Linked DNA regions of Canis lupus familiaris. The protein of the gene in region 2 interacts with the protein of the main gene of each other region in a biochemical or structural test. Links are inferred from orthologs where the notes say so. Each region holds a gene or a part of one and is shown on either strand. Other genes may lie near its edges.

Evidence for each region.
Region 1: of the proteins of PARP1 (region 2) and H1-5, one has a biochemical effect on the other in vitro, tested with the Homo sapiens proteins (2 studies listed by BioGRID). The link is inferred for Canis lupus familiaris from reciprocal best matches to the Homo sapiens genes PARP1 and H1-5.
Region 3: of the proteins of PARP1 (region 2) and CASP7, one has a biochemical effect on the other in vitro, tested with the Homo sapiens proteins (3 studies listed by BioGRID). The link is inferred for Canis lupus familiaris from reciprocal best matches to the Homo sapiens genes PARP1 and CASP7.

What each region holds. Positions count from the first base shown.
Region 1 is NC_049256.1:26,524,586-26,530,738, forward strand, and holds H1-5 (histone H1.5), read right to left. Parts: upstream 3,468-6,153; 5' UTR 3,422-3,467; coding exon 2,741-3,421; 3' UTR 2,551-2,740; coding exon of another isoform or gene 2,110-2,550; 3' UTR 1,839-2,109; downstream 1-1,838. Other genes in the region: H2AC16 (histone H2A type 1-H-like), read left to right, coding at 2,110-2,550. UniProt on the Homo sapiens protein: Histone H1 protein binds to linker DNA between nucleosomes forming the macromolecular structure known as the chromatin fiber. Histones H1 are necessary for the condensation of nucleosome chains into higher-order structured fibers.
Region 2 is NC_049228.1:38,472,128-38,478,303, forward strand, and holds part of PARP1 (poly [ADP-ribose] polymerase 1), read left to right. Parts: intron 1-102; coding exon 103-279; intron 280-2,645; coding exon 2,646-2,793; intron 2,794-3,947; coding exon 3,948-4,088; intron 4,089-5,588; coding exon 5,589-5,831; intron 5,832-5,960; coding exon 5,961-6,029; intron 6,030-6,176. UniProt on the Homo sapiens protein: Poly-ADP-ribosyltransferase that mediates poly-ADP-ribosylation of proteins and plays a key role in DNA repair.
Region 3 is NC_049249.1:24,893,487-24,899,762, reverse strand, and holds the start of CASP7 (caspase-7), read right to left. Parts: upstream 3,512-6,276; 5' UTR 3,368-3,511; intron 1-3,367. UniProt on the Homo sapiens protein: Thiol protease involved in different programmed cell death processes, such as apoptosis, pyroptosis or granzyme-mediated programmed cell death, by proteolytically cleaving target proteins.

The DNA.
Region 1 (6,153 bases), on a different chromosome or scaffold from region 2:
TCCAGAGTAAGTTTCCCTCCTTGTACTCTTGGGAGTTTTGCTCTGCTTACCCAGGAAAGCTGCAGCTCCTGCGATGCTATAGATCAGGGCTCAAAAAAGAGCTCCCTGAGAAACTCACTGATGCTTTCTCATTCACTGAAATTTCATTTCAGGAGAGCAAATTTCATTTTAATGACACTCATTGGGAATGCAAACTGATTTGCAAGGAATTCTCAAATTATCCTGTGGCTCAGCTTCTGCCAAAGGCATCCCCAACAGTACCACTAACACTATGGTTATTAAATAAAAAATGTTTGCTTTCTTTTTGTCCAAAAGGTAGTGATTCTCAAAATACGATCTGGGAATCCATGGGGGTTTCTGAGATCCTTTTGAGGAGTCTGTGAGGCTAAATTTATTTGCATAATAATCCTGAAACTTAAACTTAATTAGTTTTTCTACTGTTTTTCACTTGACAATTATATAGCAACAGATTGAATGCAGAAACAAATACTGTGCAAGAATCCAACTGTCTTCTATTAACCTGATATTAAAGATATTTACAAAATGTAAAACATTGCCCCTCTTCTATATTTTGTTATTTTAGGGGATCCCTGGATGGCTCAGCAGTTTGGCACCTGCGTTCCGCCCAGGGCCTGGTCCTGTAGTCCCAGGATCAGGTCCCATGTCAGGCTCCCTGCATGGAGCCTGCTTCTCCCTCTGCCTGTTTCTCTGCCTCTCTCTCTCTCTGTATGTCACTCATGAATAAATAAAAAAAAATCTTTTTTTTTAAATCTTTTAAAAAATAAATAAATTGTTATTTTGAAAAATATAGCTATTTTTCATAAAATGTATATTCTAACATAAAATGAGACTTAGCCATGTGAAAATCAGTGACCAGAAATAGAGGACTTGAAAATATGAGTGATGAATATGAAGCAAGATCATTTCCCATCTTTGTGGAACTTCACTTGAAAAGATGCAGAGGTGGAGGAGTGTGGAGGACCTTGTTTCCCCAGGACTCGTGTACAGAGTAAACCAGTAGAAAAATTCAACCACGGATGTACAGCCTGGATTAGCAATCTTCATCCTTAACTGATGAAAAGAGGTGATTAATTTTAGTTCTCATTTTCCTCTTTATCCATCTTTATCCCAACACCATTCAGGTTATTTTGTGCAAATGTAGTCCTAGAGTAAGGTAGCAAGTAGGTAACTAGCACTGATGTTACAAAACAAGTGAAAGGGAATGTGACTTGGTAAATTTCCTTTAAATCAATTTATGTGATTCATAGAGCATTCTACCCTAAAGGAAGTGGTGTTGGTGACTGGAAAATGGTGGTATAACCTAAAGGGAGAAAAACTGAAGCTCTGACAATAAGATTTTCACTGCAAGTTCAGGGTTATTTTTCATTTTCACCTTAAATTTGCAGTTTTCTCAGTAATTAACTCCATGGATGACTCTTAGAATTTGGATGTTAAATGAAATATGCACAATAAAATTAATTTGGAGTGCTTGATGTTTGTAACTTAAAAAAAAAAAAAAAAAAAAGGCTAGATCCTATTGAAAACATACAAGGCCAAAATGTAACTCTGTGCAAAATTAGAGTGTGTACAAAAGCCTTCAGATGAAAATGTGCTTTTGCCTAACTCTAAGTCAGGGTAAAGGCAGTATTAGTTTTCTTTGGAAAGTGTGGATGGCTCTTAAAAAAAAAAAAAAGCCTTTGGGTGTCTGACGAATACCTTTTCCGCTGGCGGGCTCACTTGGACCTGGTGTACTTCTTAAACTTGACTGCTTTGACATGGTGGAAAATAACTAACCCTCCCCTCCCCAACACCTCCACTCCCCTCCAACAAAAGCCAAAAGGGGAAAGAATAACAGTTACTACGTGCAGTCTTTACTCACAGCCTCACGCGAAGGAGATTAAACTCTAGTGATTTGTGGTAAATTCTGGATAGCATCCTGTAGCTATCCAATCAAAATAAGGGTATTTGAAAACCAGAATTGCATTGGTTCTAATGAAAGTCGAAGTTCAGCCAATAGGACAGCTTCATTTTGGCGCCCAGTAAGGACTATAATAAATACTGAAACTTGGTCTCCATCTGTTCCGATCCAAGTCACTGTTGTCTGTCATCATGTCAGGTCGCGGGAAGCAGGGCGGCAAGGCTCGCGCCAAGGCCAAGACGCGCTCGTCGCGCGCCGGGCTCCAGTTCCCGGTGGGCCGCGTCCACCGCCTGCTCCGCAAGGGCAACTACGCGGAGCGGGTCGGGGCGGGCGCGCCGGTGTACCTGGCGGCCGTGCTGGAGTACCTGACGGCCGAGATCCTGGAGCTGGCGGGCAACGCGGCCCGCGACAACAAGAAGACGCGCATCATCCCGCGCCACCTGCAGCTGGCCATCCGCAACGACGAGGAGCTCAACAAGCTGCTGGGCCGCGTGACCATCGCGCAGGGCGGCGTCCTGCCCAACATCCAGGCCGTGCTGCTGCCAAGGCTAGGAGGAAAAGAATTAGACTTCTATAGTAAAAAACTCCCAAACCAAAATATTCCCTGGGAAACGGTGGGACCACAGTTGTAGTACCGAACCGTAGCACCGAACCAATTGGTTCGACCGCACACAGCGCAGGGTTTTCCAAAATGCCTTATATTAAGCTACATAACCATTACCAAGATTTGTGTCTAAGTGTACAGCTGTTTTTAAAAAAACCTGGGTGGCTCTGAAAAGAGCCTTTGGGGCTTTGTCGGCTTTTTCAAGGGGCAAAAACTTCCTACTTCTTTTTCGGGGCCGCCTTCTTGGCCTTGGCAGGTTTGGGCTTCGCGGCCTTTGGCTTCGCAGCCTTTGGCTTGGCGGCCTTGGGCTTCACCGCCTTGGGCTTGGCAGGACTCTTGGCCGCCTTCTTAGGCTTGGCAGACGTTTTAACTTTCTTAGGGCTCTTTGCTACTTTTTTGACACCGGCGGCTGCAGGCTTCTTGGCCTTCTTGGGGGTCTTCTTCACGGCTTTCTTCGCCCCCGCCGCTTTCTTGGGTTTCTTAGGAGTGGCCCCGGAGGGCTTCTTGGCTCTGGCCGCGCCCGCCTTCTTGGCCTTGGGCTTGGCCTCCCCGGAGGCCGCCTTCTTGTTGAGCTTGAAGGAGCCCGAGGCGCCGGTGCCCTTGGTCTGCACCAGGGTCCCCTTGCTCACCAGGCTCTTGAGGCCCAGCTTGATGCGGCTGTTGTTCTTCTCCACGTCGTAGCCGGCGGCCGCCAGCGCCTTCTTGAGCGCGGCCAAGGAGAGACCGTTGCGCTCCTTGGACGCGGCCACCGCCTTGGTGATGAGCTCGGACACCGGGGGCCCGGACGCCTTGCGCTTCGCAGCGCCACTGCCCGCTGCCTTCTTGGTGGCCTTCTTTTTGGCAGGTGACTTCTCCACCGGCGCCGGGACAGCCGTCTCAGCGGGAGCAGTTTCCGACATGGCCGAGAGCAGAAGCCGCTGCAGGAAGAGAACCGGAAAAACGAAAGAGCAGGTCTTGCAATGCTGCCTGACTCCGGCCAGGGGCTTATATAAGCCGGTGCTGCTCTGTGATTGGTGGAGCGTCCAATCCACTGCCCTCAGGCAGCCGCCCTTCGCGGTTGGACTCCCAAATTGTGTTTGTTAGCTCCCAAAATCTGATTAAATACTGAAAATTATTATACAGAATTTGACGTGTTGAAGCTCTCAAGGAAGAAAACAGTCTCTAGGTTCACATGCGGATTCGTGTTTTCATGAATCATGTACAACAGATGAAAGATTTTTCTTTTTAAATCTTTTCAGTTTTTCATAGGAATCCACTGGGTTTAAGGCATTATGGTAGTTAGTTCAAAGTTGCAGTAAGTTCTACTAAGTATCAAGTGGACATGTTAAAAAATGTCCCTAGGTCTGCACTTTGATTTTTGTAAGAGGAAAGACACAGGTTCTCGGTTTGGGAATAAACTGTAGTTAGTAACACAGAGGGAGGGCAGCAGCTTGCCTGCAGCCCCAAATTAACCACATAGATCCTCCTTCAAAAGCCAGTTCTGCCTCCTGGGAGTTTTCACACGCCCGATGTCTTTAGAGAATGTCTTTGGCTGTTTGGGAAAGTTTAGTAGCCAGAATGATATCTACCTTGCAGCAGGAGGAGGAGGAGGAATAGCTTTGGCTTGAGGATCCAATGACCTGAATTTGAATTAAAACTTAAATTTGATATGTTTTTTATTGAGATGCTTTCTACCTTTAGTATTAGGCAAATCCATTATAATAAATGGGAAAGATGCTTAGCACAGATAAAGTGCTGGAGGAAAACCTCAAACCTGCTGGAAGTATTCAAGGGCTTCAGGAGTCCTCAAAAACACAGACTGTAGGTGACATGGGACTCTGTCAGACTTCCAAGGTACTCTTCCCAATACTTCCCAATTCAAAGTCCTTATCTCCATCAATATGTAATAAAGTGCGCTGTCAGAAACACCTTTCTGTAATGTGAGCATTATTGTGTTATGAGCTAGGAGAGACCTTATTTAAGAGAAATAGGTGGCTACGGACTATGAGAAGACTGGATTGGCAATTGAAGGAATACAAGTTATAGACACTCAGAAGTAGTCAAGAATACAACATCCGGGAAGCTGGGTGGCTCAGTGGTTGAGCATCTGCCTTTGGCTCATGACGTGATCCTGGGATTGAGTCCTACATCAGGCTCCCCAGAGGGAGCCTGCTTCTCCCTCTGCCTAATTTTGCCTCTCTCTAGGTGTCTCTCATGAATAAATAAAATCTTAAAAAAAAAAAAAAAAAAAGAATACAACACCCAAGATAACTGAAGAAATAACCATGAGGTTGGAATGGAGGGTGGGTAACTTTGCTACTTATTTGGGAAGAGGCTGGTGTAGGGAATGGACAGGATTTTCTGACTGGCTGATTAGGAAGGTCTAATGATGACTAAAATCTCTACTGCAGTCAACACTCACTTAGTTCTTCCCTGTGAAAAACTGTAAGGAAGTTTAAAGTCATCAACGTATTTCCCTCCAAGGAACTCCTGGAGTTGAAACTATAGTTAATGAAGGCCAAATCTGGACAGTGTCCTGTTTTGCATGGGCTTTCAAACTAAATGTGGTTTTTATATTTTTAAAATTGTGTTAGAAAAAAAAATGACAGACCATTTTTGGCCTGCAAAGCCCAAATATTTGCAATTTGGCCATTTTTCTATGTTTTTGACTTCTCTACATAGATTATGGCATATTGCTAACAAGCCTGCCTCTTTCAGAACAATGCAAACGAAGAATCAAAGAAAAGATCTTAACAAGACAAATGTTTTAACCAAGCATGTACCACTATTTCAACCACAAACCTTTCAGATCACAGTGGACATGGTGGTGGTGGGGACCTCCATGCTTAAGTGACTGGATAGAGGTGTAGTAAAGGCTAACACTCAGTGAGCATTCACTACATGCCAGAAACTAATCTAAGAATGCTCAACGGTTTTAATTCATTTGCCATATTTCACAGTGATACAAGCTGATACCCAGGGAAAGGATGAGTAACTAGCCAAAGGCTAGTAATTCCCAGCTCTGAGGTTTGAACCTAGAACACCTGCCTCAGCTCTATTATGATGGGAAAATCCTAAAAGGAATGGGGAGAAAACAATTTTTGAAGCTTTTAAGAGGCAGCATCAAATAGTCCCTACAACTAAAGAATCACTAACGGATCTGTAATATGGGGGATGCCTGGGTGGCTCGAGGGGTTGAGTACCTGCCTTCAGCCCAGGGCGTTGATTCTGGAATCCGGGGATCGATTTCACCTCAGGCTCCCTGCATGGAGCCTGCTCCTCTGCCTTCTCCGTGTCTCTCATGAAAGAATTAATAAAATCAAAAAAAAAAAAAAAAAAGAAAAGAAAAGAAAAGAAAGAAAAAGAAAACCCACCTTTTAAAAGGAGAGGTTCTGGCCCCTTGGGTCAGTTCCTCAATCCCCAGGCATTCCAAAACGCTTTAGGTGCCAGCAGATGAGATATGAACCTTTCTGAAAGGACAAACATGAATATAGGGGAAATTTAAGGCCCAGATGGCTGAACTGATCTGATTAAAAAAAAAAAAAAAAAAAAACCTCCAGAGAAAAATTCCTACCTCCTGGATTTAGGTAGGATTTGAAGTCAAAAGAAGCAAAATGAGTCAATGATACTCGTGTGAAAAGCACAAGACTTT
Region 2 (6,176 bases):
TCTTAGTTAGCAAGGTCTTCCTGCTCTTCCTCCTGGGTCGGTAAGTGTCCTTCCCTATAGCCTCTCCTCTCCTCTCTTGACCTGTTTGCTACCTGGCTTCAGATCTTGGACCGAGTGGCTGATGGCATGGTGTTCGGTGCCCTCCTTCCCTGTGAGGAATGCTCAGGCCAGCTGGTCTTCAAGAGTGATGCCTACTACTGTACCGGGGATGTCACTGCCTGGACCAAGTGTATGGTCAAGACACAGACACCCAGCCGGAAGGAGTGGGTGACCCCGAAGGTAAGTGGGTGTGTGAGGGGGTGGATTCTTGGATGTTAGCAGAAGAACACCGTCATCCCTCTTCTGGGCTTGTTCACACTCCAAGTCTCCATGACTGCAGTGCTGTGTTCTTAGTCTTTCCAACAAGGCCATCCTTACACTCAGAATATAAAACCGTATTATTGGTCTGTAAGTTTGCAAACTCCACAAACATAGAAGCACAAGCAGTCCTAGCAGGAGTACAAGTTTTGTCCTATTGGCATAAGGTTTTGATGATTGGCATTGTCCTCTTGCTTGCCAAGACTGAATTACCTTTGTCTTTGCTTATTGAGGGCTTCCTGTGTGCCAGGCACTGTTCTAGGCACAAAAGACCCGCTGGTGAACAAATGAATGATGATAATTCTCACCTCGGTGATAGGAGACAATTTCCTAAGGATGTTTTCCTGCCTTAGTTCTCCCATCCAAGTACTAACCAGGCCCGACCCTGCTTAGCTTCCGAGATCAGACGAGATCGGGCGCGTTCAGGGTGGTATGGCCGTAGACTTCCTGCCTTAGTTCTAAGGGGAGTTGGGTCCGGAGTTCAAGTATCTCCTCCTGTTGTAGTGGTTTTTTTGGGTTTTTTTGTTTTTAATGGGAATGCATGTTGAATTCTCAGGATACCAAAAACTCACTTGGAAATCCTCAGTTGGGACTGTCTGCACCCTCAGACTCTATGTGGGCAGGGCTGCCTCACTTCTTGTGCTTGTGCAGGAGGCCAACAAGCCTGTGGGCCGGTGGCACGAGACTTAGCATGTCACTCGGGTGTCCCCCTGGCTCCGTCAGCACAGCACCTACACTCGAACTCTTTTCCTGCCACCCTCTTGCCTCCCCTGCTTGCTGCCATCATTGTACCCCACCTCGCTGTTTTCTCTAAACTTGTACTTGAGCAATCACTCAAAAACAGCTCTGACCTCATCACTGCTTGTGTCCTTAAGACCTCAGTGATTGCTTGGGTCACGTGGAAATATTCTCCCAGTTTTTCTGAGTTTGCAAATGTCACATACCTGAATGTGGTACCTGTACCCCTTTTACTATCTCTGAGAAAATGAGATCATAAGGAGTGGGGACCCATTTTGTATTTCACAGGCCAGTTGCACAGCATTGTGCTTACTTTTGAAGGTACCTGTGTGTGTAGGACCTATTTTCAGGTCCACAGTGCTTGCTGCCTGTGCAGATTCACGGATTCCCAGCTCCATGCGAGCCTGCTGCTCTCTGTGGGCCTTCCTCAGGCTCTGTGCTGCCCTTGTCTTCCTGGGTACTGTCACTGCCACTGCACATGCACACACACGGTCTCTCTAGCTCGTTACATTCCCAGCAATAGAACACTGACCCCCCCAGTGTTCCCTGCATCCCACAGTATGTCAGTCATACGTCTTTGCTTGGACCCTGCTTTTTTGGCCCCTAGCTGCCTAAACAGGTCATTGCCTCCAGGGAGCCCCCCCAAAGTTCCCCATCTGTTGTCACATTAGCCTTCAGATGTCTGACCCAGTCAGCACTGAACTGCTTTCTTGAAAGAAGAAACTCTTCATAACCTCACCATGATAATATGGCACAGTAAGTGTTCAGCATGACTTGGAGATGGTCTGTTGCTCCTTTGATCCGGGGCATTCATGGAGCACAGGTACACGGGAGTGGGCTCTTCCTTGCCTGCACCATGCTGTTCCTGAACTCCGGCGGAGTCCTTATGGAACACTTGTTGCTCTCAGCAGCCACGTTACCTTCTCAGAAGGGAGGGGAGCTCTCTGGTTTCCTCTCGGGAAGTAACCTCTCTCCCAGTCAGTGCAGTCTCGGGACGTGGGCATGTGACCCCTGAGGGGCCTCTCGAGGGCCAGGCCTGGGGGTTTCAGGCCGTGGCAGCTGATTCATGATTGGTTGGTTGATCTTTAAGGAAAACTCTTTGCTTACAGCATCCATGCCAGCATTATCCTAAACGTGGAAGCACTAGAAATAAGCACTGTGTTTGCAGTGATCGTGTATTTTGTGCTGGAAATCTCGAATCTTTTTTAGGATTTATTTATTTTAGAGCAAGCAGGGGGAGGGGCAGAGGGTGAGAAAGAATATCTTTGGGCGGTGTGGGGGGGGGCGATCTCAAGCAGGACCTCCCCCTCCACTGAGCATGGAGCCTAACAGACTCCATCCCACGACCCTGAGATCACAACCTGAATGGAAACCAAGAGTCAGACATAACCCACTGAGCCCCCCAGGTGCCCCATTGTCTTGTTTTCTTGTCATTCCTTATCACAAGAAGTAAAATGAAATTCCTTAGTTTGAACGGACCAAACCTTTGCTGTGGCAGACGGTAATTTTAAGGGAGAACTGGTTTCTTAACTGAAACTTTAATTCTTTAGGAATTCCGAGAAATCTCTTATCTCAAGAAATTGAAGATCAAAAAGCAGGACCGGATATTTCCCCCTGAGACCAGTGCCCCAGTGGCAGCGGCACCTCCGCCCTCCACTGCCTTGGCGCCTGCTAGTGTAAACAGCTCAACTCCGCCAGGTAGGGCTCCAGGGCCGCCTGCAGGGGGGGGGGGGCCCATGATCTTAGCAGGAGGAGGGTCTCTCCAGATTCTCTGTTTGCCAATCCTTAGGGCAGCCTTACCGAGAGTGACATTCAGAATGTTGTCCAAACCACACGACAGACTGCTTTCGTGCCTCTGGGCAGCCCTGTGTCCGTCAGTCATCCTGAGCCTGATGGGATGGTTGGGTCTTTTGCACACAGAGACCTGCTAGAGACCTTGGCCGCTAAAGCAGGTTCCAACTCCTATGAATACAAATATTCCACACCACAGACACAGATCAGTTGGTGGTTTTCCATCCAGAGAAGAGACTTGCTGCCTTTGTTCACTCAGAGACACATGGTATAGCCTAAGGGCTACAGCCACAGGTGGGTGGGTGGAAGACAAGGGGCTGACCCTGCATGTGAGCCTGTTAATGACCTCCTCCTTCCTCCCAAGGAGGCCTACGTGTGCATGGTCATTCTGAGTCAGTCTATTTTTTGGGGTGTGGGGTCAGTCTTGACTTGCCCTCACAGGAAGGGCTTGAGGGACGTTTCCCTCCCTGTTCTAGGAGTGCGGAGCCAGCCCTGATCCACCCTCACCACACCTAGGCACAGCCCCTGTCATGGGGCTTTCTGATCTGGGCTCTGTTCTAGGGAAGTGCCAGGGTCTTTGTGTTTGGAATCGGTTACCTAGCTTGGCATCCTGCTGACCACAGCGTGGAGTGACTGCCCTTAATGAGTCTTAATCTATTTGATGAGGTTCATAAGTATCACATAAGAAATTGCGAGTTGGGAAAAGAAAAGTAATGGGAGCTCAGCTCTCTGCCTCCCATCCCACTACCAGCCTGGTGGTCCCCACATGCAGCTTTCTGGGTCTCCCTGTGGGACAGAGCCAGGAGACCCTGCTGGCCAGGCCAGCCTATTCACAGGACAGTGTTGTTATGTGGCTTTTCCCCTAGCCTGGTCCTTTGTGTGTTAGGGGACGAGACAGGCTCTCCACTTGCTGTCCTATCCTGCTTTCCCAATAGCCCTCAGCCTCTATTTTCATATACTTATCACTCGGGCACCAGAGGGGAGCTGAGGGTGTCCAGGCCCTGCAGCCTGTCCCAGCCTCCCTGAGACCTCGCTGCCTAACCACTGTTCTCTTTTCCCAGGTAAGCCATTGTCCAACATGAAGATCCTGACTCTTGGGAAACTCTCGCGGAACAAGGATGAAGTGAAGGCCATGATTGAGAAGCTCGGGGGAAAGTTGACAGGCACAGCCAATAAGGCCTCCCTGTGCATCAGTACCAAAAGTGAGTTGAACCAGGACACCTGGGTGGCTTAGTGGTTGAGCACGTCTGCCTTTGGCTCAGGGCATGATCCTGGAGTCCCAGGATCGAGTCCCACGTCAGGCTCCCTGCATGTGTCTCCTTCTGCCTGTGTCTCTGTCTCTCTTTTTATGTGTCTCTCATGAATAAATAAAAATCTTTAAAAAAAAAAAAAAAGTGAGTTGAACCTGGTTGTAGAACAGGTGCCCAGTGTGCTTCCTGCCATGGCGGTGAGCTTGAGTAAGGGGACACTGAGTATGGTGTGGCATCCGCAGGGCACTCCCAGGTAGGTGTCTGGTCAGCAGCATTGTTTGGGTCTGAAGGGATACCAGTGCCTGTATTTTGTGAAGCCACTCTGTCCTGTGTGTTCACATGCTTTCTCTCCCGAGCTGACCAGAGCGCCTCACTTTGGGGACATGAATGGTCTTGGCACAACCACAACCACTGGGGGCTCTGAAAAGCACAGCAGCTGCATGGACAAGCTTGGGGGTTTGAGGAACAGCAGAGCCGGGGCGGGGCTGACAAACACTCACCTCCTATACGAGGGCTCCTTCAGGACCAGGAGAGGTACTTGTCTCACCTACCCATAGAGTGAGGCAAGACAGAAAAATGGGGATGAATTCAAAACAAAAGAACACAGTAAAGTCTCAGAGGAAAAAATCTTGAAGGATTGGAGATAAGTAGCTTACCTAGTCAAAGGCACTCCACACACTGGAAGCAGGACAGATTCCTGCATTACCTGTGAAAAGCTGGTGCTGGTTCCTCACAGAAGTGGAGCAGACGATCCTGAGATGCATGTGGAACCACAGATGCTCCAAACAGCCAGAGCAGTTTTGAGAAAAGACAGAGCAGGAGGCATCATGCTCCTTGATTGCAAACTACATTATGAGCTCTAGTATCAGAGTAGTGTGGAGCTGACGTGTGAACACCCAGAGGTCAGCGGAACAGGGTAGAAAGCCAAGAATACACTCTGGAGAAAGCCAGATCCCTGCCTCACACTGCTCACAAAAATTTACTCAGAATGGATTGTAGACTTGTATGTGAGACCCACAACTACAAAATTCATAGAAGAGAGCACAGAATAGACGGTGAGCTCCTTGACCCTGGTTTTGGTGATTTTTGACTCTGGCACCCAAGAAAAAAAACAGACCAACAGGACCACATCAAACTAGAATGCTTCCACATGTAAGGGAAATTGTCCATAGAATTAAGGGGCATCCTGCAGAGCAGGGGCAACCAGTTGCTTGTTGTGTGCTTGGGGATGCCCTGGGGAGGTGCAGGGTCGAGCACTTTCCTACCGTTTGGGCTGCAGGTGGCTCCTCTTCTGGGGTGCATCTGCCCACAGGCCTAGACCCGTGTGCAGGAGGCGGCACTGTACATGGGCCCCCAGCACTAGGTGACAAGGAGGGGCTCAGGCTCAGTCAGCAGGGCTCTGGCTTTACTTCACAGTTAATGCTTCGGCCGTTCTTCCCCTGGTTTGAACAGAGGAGGTGGAGAAGATGAACAAGAAGATGGAGGAGGTGAGAGAGGCCAGCATCCGAGTGGTATCTGAGGATTTTCTCCGGGACGTGTCTGATTCCACCAGGAGCCTTCAGGATTTGCTCTCCGCCCATGTGCTGGCTCCCTGGGGGGCTGAGGTGAAGGCAGAGCCAGCAGAGCCTGCAGCCCCTAAAGCCAAATCAGGAGCTGCGCTCTCCAAGAAGAGCAAGGGCCCGGTCAAGGAGGAAGGTGAGGCCCACAAACTCCTGAGATGGTCTGTGGATGCTGGCAGACTGCTCCCTCGCCCTGCCTTCCACCCCACCCGTATTTCCTAGTTCTGTTTTACTTGAGCAGTTACAGTTCTTGTCCCCTTCCAAGGCGTCAACAAATCTGAGAAGAGAATGAAATTAACTCTGAAAGGTGGTGCTGCTGTTGATCCAGATTCAGGTGAGCTCACAGGAGCGGGAGTGGATGGGTGGTCAAGAGACTAGGGTGCCCAGGCTGCACCTGTGCCCTCCTACCTCTTGGGCGTCATCTGACTGGCAGTATGGTGTCTGGGGGTGTGAAAGCCCCCCGCCCCTTACCGCCTGCAGA
Region 3 (6,276 bases), on a different chromosome or scaffold from region 2:
ATGCAGGGAGCCTGACGTGGGACTCGATCCCGGGTCTCCAGGATCATACCCCGAGCTGAAGGCGCCGCTAAACCGCTGGGCCACCGGGGCTGCCCCGACTTAGTTACTTTTCATGGGCATTGTTGTTAGCAAAGCACAGAAACATTTTAAAAGATAACAAGTTAAAGTCATACAAGATTCATCAGAAAAAGACACTACCTCTGACATGTGGTCTTTAAGCCTTGAGCCTTTTGCGGATGCTAACAATGTGACCAACTTTTTAAAAAGGACAATCCTAAGCAAACAGCTCCTAAGAAAGCCAGATGTTTGTTCTGATGTTGCGGGGAATGCTGAGAAGAGTTTTGGCAACTCCCCTTCATTCACTCATTGAATATTTATTGGGGGGATAACACAGCAGGTTGTGTGCTAGGAGCAGAGGATGAAGCTGGGACCACATTGACCTGGTGCTGCCTTGACAGGGAGCAGGTTTTAATAAAAGGATGGCACAAATGTCGAGCTACCCTGTGGTGAGTGCCGCAGGGACCAACCATCCGAAGCCATACCAGGGGACCCTCCTGAGCCTCGGAGGAATTAAGGAGGGCTCTCAGGGAAGGAGATATTTGACCTGAGGTTTGAGAAGGGGAAGCAGAGAGGGCAGGGATGGGGTGCTGCAGGCAGAGGGGAACTGCACACACGCTCCATCAAAGCAGGGGTGCAGCTTAAAGTCCTTGTCCTTCCCAGCCACATGGAGGGGACTTTGGACTTGGCTACCAAGACATAAAATTCAGTCTCACTTCTATGGTTCAGTGTGGGAGGCTTTCCATGAGCTTTCCCCCCAAACACTAGGCAAGAAGGGTCTTCCGTCTGAAACCTACAGCTTCTTTCTGGATTGATGCTGAGCACTGTGTAGGGTGACAGCAAACATTCAGTGACTTTCTTACTCCCATGAGGCCAGGCTTGATTTCTGGGGAAAATCAAGTTCACCCAGAACAAGGGTGCTGACCCAGCAGGGTGCCTGATGTCGGCCACATCATTTCAGCCAAGCCAAGATGTGGTGTTGACCCTGTATTTCCACTCATACTCAGAGCCCACCAGGAAAATCTATCTATCTCAGCTCTGCTGTGCCTAGATGGGGCAGGCCTAGTGTTGTTTTCCAGTGTTCATCCTCTTTTAGGGTTCAGGCCATAAAGAACAGTCAGCACACAAGTGCTCCTGCTCATCCAACAGCGCATCTGTCTTCAATTACACGTGTCGATCTTCTCTCTAAATGAATCAGTACGTGATGCACATAAAGCACTAGCACTGCCAGGAGCTCCACGTAAGCACTCCCGGTTAGCTCTTGTCATCCTTATTGTCATTAGTATCCAGTAAGATTCGAACTCTTTGCGAACAGAGAGTGTATCTCAACTAGAGTGTATCTTAATTACCCTTTTTTGTTTCAGTTATAGAAAAGTTCTGGACAGAACATAGTGGACACTCAATAAATCTTTCTTTTGGGCAGCCCTGGTGGCTCAGCGGTTTAGCGCCGCCTGCAGCCCAGGGCATGATCCTGGAGACCCGGGATCGAGTTCCACGTCAGGGTCCCTGCATGGAGCCTGCTTCCCTCTCTGCCTCTCTCTCTCTCTCTCTGTCTCTCTCATGAATAAATAAATAAAATCTTAAAAAAATATAAATAAATCTTTCTTTTTTTTTCTTTTAAGAGAAGGATGGGGGGAATTGGCAAAGGGAGAGCAGAGAGACAGATCTTAAGCAGGCTCCATGCCCAGTGCCGTGCCTGATGCAGCGGCTGGATCCTGAGATCATGACCCGAGCTGAAATCAAGAGTTGAATGCTTAACTGACTGAGTCACCCAGCTGTCCCGATAAATATTTTTTTAATAAATGTTTTAATTAAAATATACTTAAAATGTTTAAATCATTCAGTGTCTGAATAAATTATTGACACAGGACAGAGAACACAACCAAGTTGAGAGCCCAGTCATGGGAAGAGCAGATCAGGGATTAAACTGGCTCCTCCATCTACTAGCCATGGGACCTTGAACAAAGGGGCTCAATTTCTTTGAGCCTCAGCTTCCTCATCTGTGAATTGGGAAGATAATGATGCCTAAGTCACAGGCTGTGAGATGAATGGAAAAACGCATGTAAAGTACTAAGTACAGTATAGCACATTCTAGATGTTCAATAAACATTCCTTATTATCGCCACTGTCAGCAGAACTCAAGACCAAGAACACATTCAACTGCCAACCTTCACGGATATTTTAAGCAGCTTTTACAGAGAATGAAAAAATATTTCTCTGGTGATTGTTCCTAAACATGTTTTAATAGGCGACTGGTACATATCTGGTAGGAAATCACTTCTGGCTATATCCTGAACTTTTTTTCCATGAGTGGGAGGACTCATTGCATCTACTTCCTCTGAAAAGTGGCATAACGCAACTTGCCCCCACTCTTGCCCCAGTGAAGACAATCTCCCTAAAAGGCTCAAAGAGAAGCAGCCCTGAGGACCTTTCACCTTTGGCACTTGGAGAAGGCGCCCCTGGTACTTGGGTACCCCTGTCACCAGAGGCTCGCAGCACTGCTAGGAGGCTGGAGCCCCTGCCCATTGCAGAAGAAACCTGGGTTTCTTCAGAGAGTTTAAGTAACCTGCCCAAGGCCACACAACTAACAGGAAGCAGAGGTGGATTATGAACCCAGGTGAGGGCTGTTCATAGGGGCTGAAGGTCAGCAGCCCCTGAAGGAGGAAATAGGCTGTAAGTAAATAAAGGACAGGGCCACACAGTCCACCAGAGCAAGAGTTCAAGGGAAGAGCCTGAGCATGGCCCACACAGAGTAACCCACAGGTAATTTTACTGCTCCGTTACGATAAACTTGAACACACGGTGAAAGGTTGCAAGGTCGACTGTGGTCCTGTTTTTTTCACCTCCTCAAGAGATCTTCAAGGGCCCTGCACCAGCGGCCCCAGGCAGGAGGTCAGCAGCTCCTGCACACTGAGCCCTGACCCAGGCCCTCCTGCTATATGCACCGGTGACCAACTTCCATCCTCCCGGCGCCCCCCAGGCCGCGATCAGCACCGTTCCCATTTGACAGACGGGCACAGCGAGGCCCGCGGCTGACTTAGAGCGGCGCGGGGACCAGCGCCCAGGGTGGTCCGACAGCGGGGCGCTCGCGGTCAGCCGGGCGAGACCGCCACCCCCTCCCTCCCGGCTCCCTCCACGCCCCCTTTCCCAAAAGCCGAGCTGCAGGGCTGTCCCGGCCCGCGGCCAGCAGGGAACCGAGGGCCGGCTGGGCTGGGCTGGGCTGGGCTGGGCTGGGCTGGGCTGGGCGGAGCGGAGCGAGCTGGGCCGGGCCCTCTCCCCGGACTCGGCGCGAGGGGGGCCGCGAGGTTACCGTGTCCGCAGCGGCGGGCGGCGGGCGGCGGGGCTGGCGTCCGTCTCGGTCCCTCCGCGGATAGGGTCTGGGGCCGCCCGCAAGAAAGCGAAAGTGAAAGCCCGGGCGGCCGAGGGCGGAGTCGCGCGGGCCAGTCCCCGGGGCGGGGCGGGGTCGGGGGCGGAGCCGGGGTCGGGGCGGGGCCTGGGAAGGGGCGGGGCTGGAGGCGGGGGCGGGGCTTGAGGCGGGGCCCGGGGGCGGGGCTGGGGGCGGGGCCGGGGCCCGGGAGCGGAGTCGTGCGGGCCAGTCCTCCGGGCGGGACGGAGCCGGGGCCGGGGGCGGGGCCGGGGGGCGGGGCCTGGGCCGGGGGCGGGGCCCGGGGGGCGGAGTCGCGCGGGCCAGTCCCCCGGGCGGGTCGGGGTCGGGGTCTGGGGCGGAGCCGGGGGCGGGGCCTGGGGGCGGGGCCGGGGCCTGGGGGCGGGGCCGGGGCCTGGGGGCGGGGCCGGGGCCCGGGGGCGGAGTCGCGCGGCCAGTCCTCCGGGCGGGACGGAGCCGGGGCCGGGGGCGTGGCCGGGGGCGTGGCCGGGGGCGGGGCCGGGGCACCTCCTCCCGCTCCCGCGGCCGCGCTCTCCCCGAGGTGTCTCGCGCGCCCCGAGGCCCGCCCCCACGCGCGCCCGCGCCCTGCAGAACGCGGCGGGCCGCGCGCGTGGCCGGGGACGTGGCAGGCGCCCGGGCGCAGTTGGCCGCGCCCCCGGACGGCGCCCTCGGAGAGTTGGGAGAGTTCTCCCGCAGCCCCGGGAGAGCACCTGCACCTGCTGAGCCCGCGGCGGCGCCCGCAGCGACCCGGGGGCGCGCTCTGCACACCGGCCGCGCGCCGAAGAGCGCGCCCCGCGGACTCGGCGGCGCTCGAGGACCGGGCGCCCGCCGGGCTCCCCGCCTCCTCCCCTCCCGCTGCGGCCCCCGTCCGCACCCCCACTCGGGCCTCCGCACCCGCCGCGGGGACCCCGTTCCCACAGCCAGACGGCGTTTCCCCCGCCGGGCCCCCGACCCTGGGAAGGGGGTGCTCGGCGCCCGCAGCACTGGAGTCCCCGTCTCCGGGGCCGGCCTGGAGCCGCCGGTGGGCGTGCGGTGTCCACTCGCGGGGGCGGCAGGACTCGAACTCCGCTCTCGGGTGGCGAGCTCCCGCCTCGCAGCGCGGCGAACTTGCCGGAGGTCCCTCCAGAGTAGTGAGCGCCCCCAAGTGCCGGCCACTGGGCATGGGGCCGTGACCCGGCCCACCGCGGGCGGGGCCTGCACGCCCCTGGTCCCGCCCCCCGCCCGGCTGCTGCTCCCACAGCCCCGCACTCTGCCTTTCTTCACCCTTGGGCCGAAGCCGGCGCCTGCAATGCCTTTCTCTCCAAGACGCCTCTGGGACAGCAACTAATTAACTAATGACGCGTTGAGGCTCTGAGAAGAAAGGACACTTTTTAAAAAAAAAAGATTTTGTTTATTTATTCATGATAGACATAGAGAGAGAGGCAGAGACACAGGCAGAGGGAGAAGCAGGCTCCATGCAGGGAGCCCGATGTGGGACTCGATCCCCGGCCTCCAGGATCACGCCCCGGGCCAAAGGCAGGTGCTGGACCACTGAGCCACCCAGGGATCCCCAAAATGACACTTTTATTTATACCAGAAATAATTGCGTTTAAAGAACTTCCTGGGCCTTGAATGAATGGAAACCTTCATGGCGTGAGATCGGGCAAGAACCACATCTTGTCTTTTTGTTTGCTTGCTTTATCCTGGGCCTCAGACTTCAGTATTGTCTCTAGGATCTCGCCCAGGTGAGGACACTTTCTTGACTTAAGAAAGACTGGCCCCAGGTAAGTGTCAGGGCGTAATTATAATTTATTAACTTCTGCAAAAATTTTAAGCAGTCTCGTTACTTTTCCACTGACTGTGGAATAGGCCGAAAGTTTGTGTGCCTCACTCCCATTCATGTGTTGAAACTTGATGCTCAACGTGATGGTATTAGGAGTTGGGGCTTTTGGGAAGTGCTTAAATCATGAGGATGGAGACCTGGTGAGTGGGATTAGTGCCCTTCTAAAAAGAGGCTGGACAGAGCTTTCTGGTTCTTTCTACCCTCTGAGGATGTAAGCAGAAGTTACTGTTTGCATCCCCAGGGAGGGCTCTTACCAGAAGCTTGTTATGCTGTCACCCTGATCTTGGACTTTCTAGCCTCCAGAATGGTGAGAAATCAATTTTTGGTGTTTATAAGCTACACGGTCTGTAGTATTTTGTTATAGCAGCCCAGACTGGCTAAGACAGGCTGCACTACTCTATCAATCATGTTTCTGAAATGTAAGTGGTAACTGAGTCCTGTAGACACTGAGATAATTTGCTTTTTGAAGGAATTTATTGTGAATCATTTAAGAAATGAAAACTCCCTATCAGTAAAGAAAATTAGTTACTGATCCATAAATTTAATTTAAATTAAATTTTTTGCAAGTTATTCATGAAAGAGAGTGAAACACAATGTTAGATTTTGGAAAGGGCTTTAGCAACAAATCCCTCTGCTCATTTTATAGGAAAAGAATCTGAGGCTCAGAGGAGTGGCCCCTATCCCAGACTTGGCTAGCGGCAGAGCCAGGACCAGGTTGCCTAAAAAATAATGAATTTTCCATTCACAAGAAGGCTCTAGCTACCATAGGTTATATAATGCAAACGTTAAAACGTACTGCACACAGGAATTCATTGCTGGCTCAGGAAAGATATGTTTTTTTTTTTTAAGAATTTATTTATTTATTCATGAGAGACAGAGAGAGAGACAGACACAGGCAGAGGGAGGAGCAGACTCCATGCAGGGAGCCCGATGTGGGACTCGATCCCAGGACTTCAGGATCATGCCCTGAGCCAAAGGCAGATGCTCAACCACTGAGCCACTCAGGTGTCCG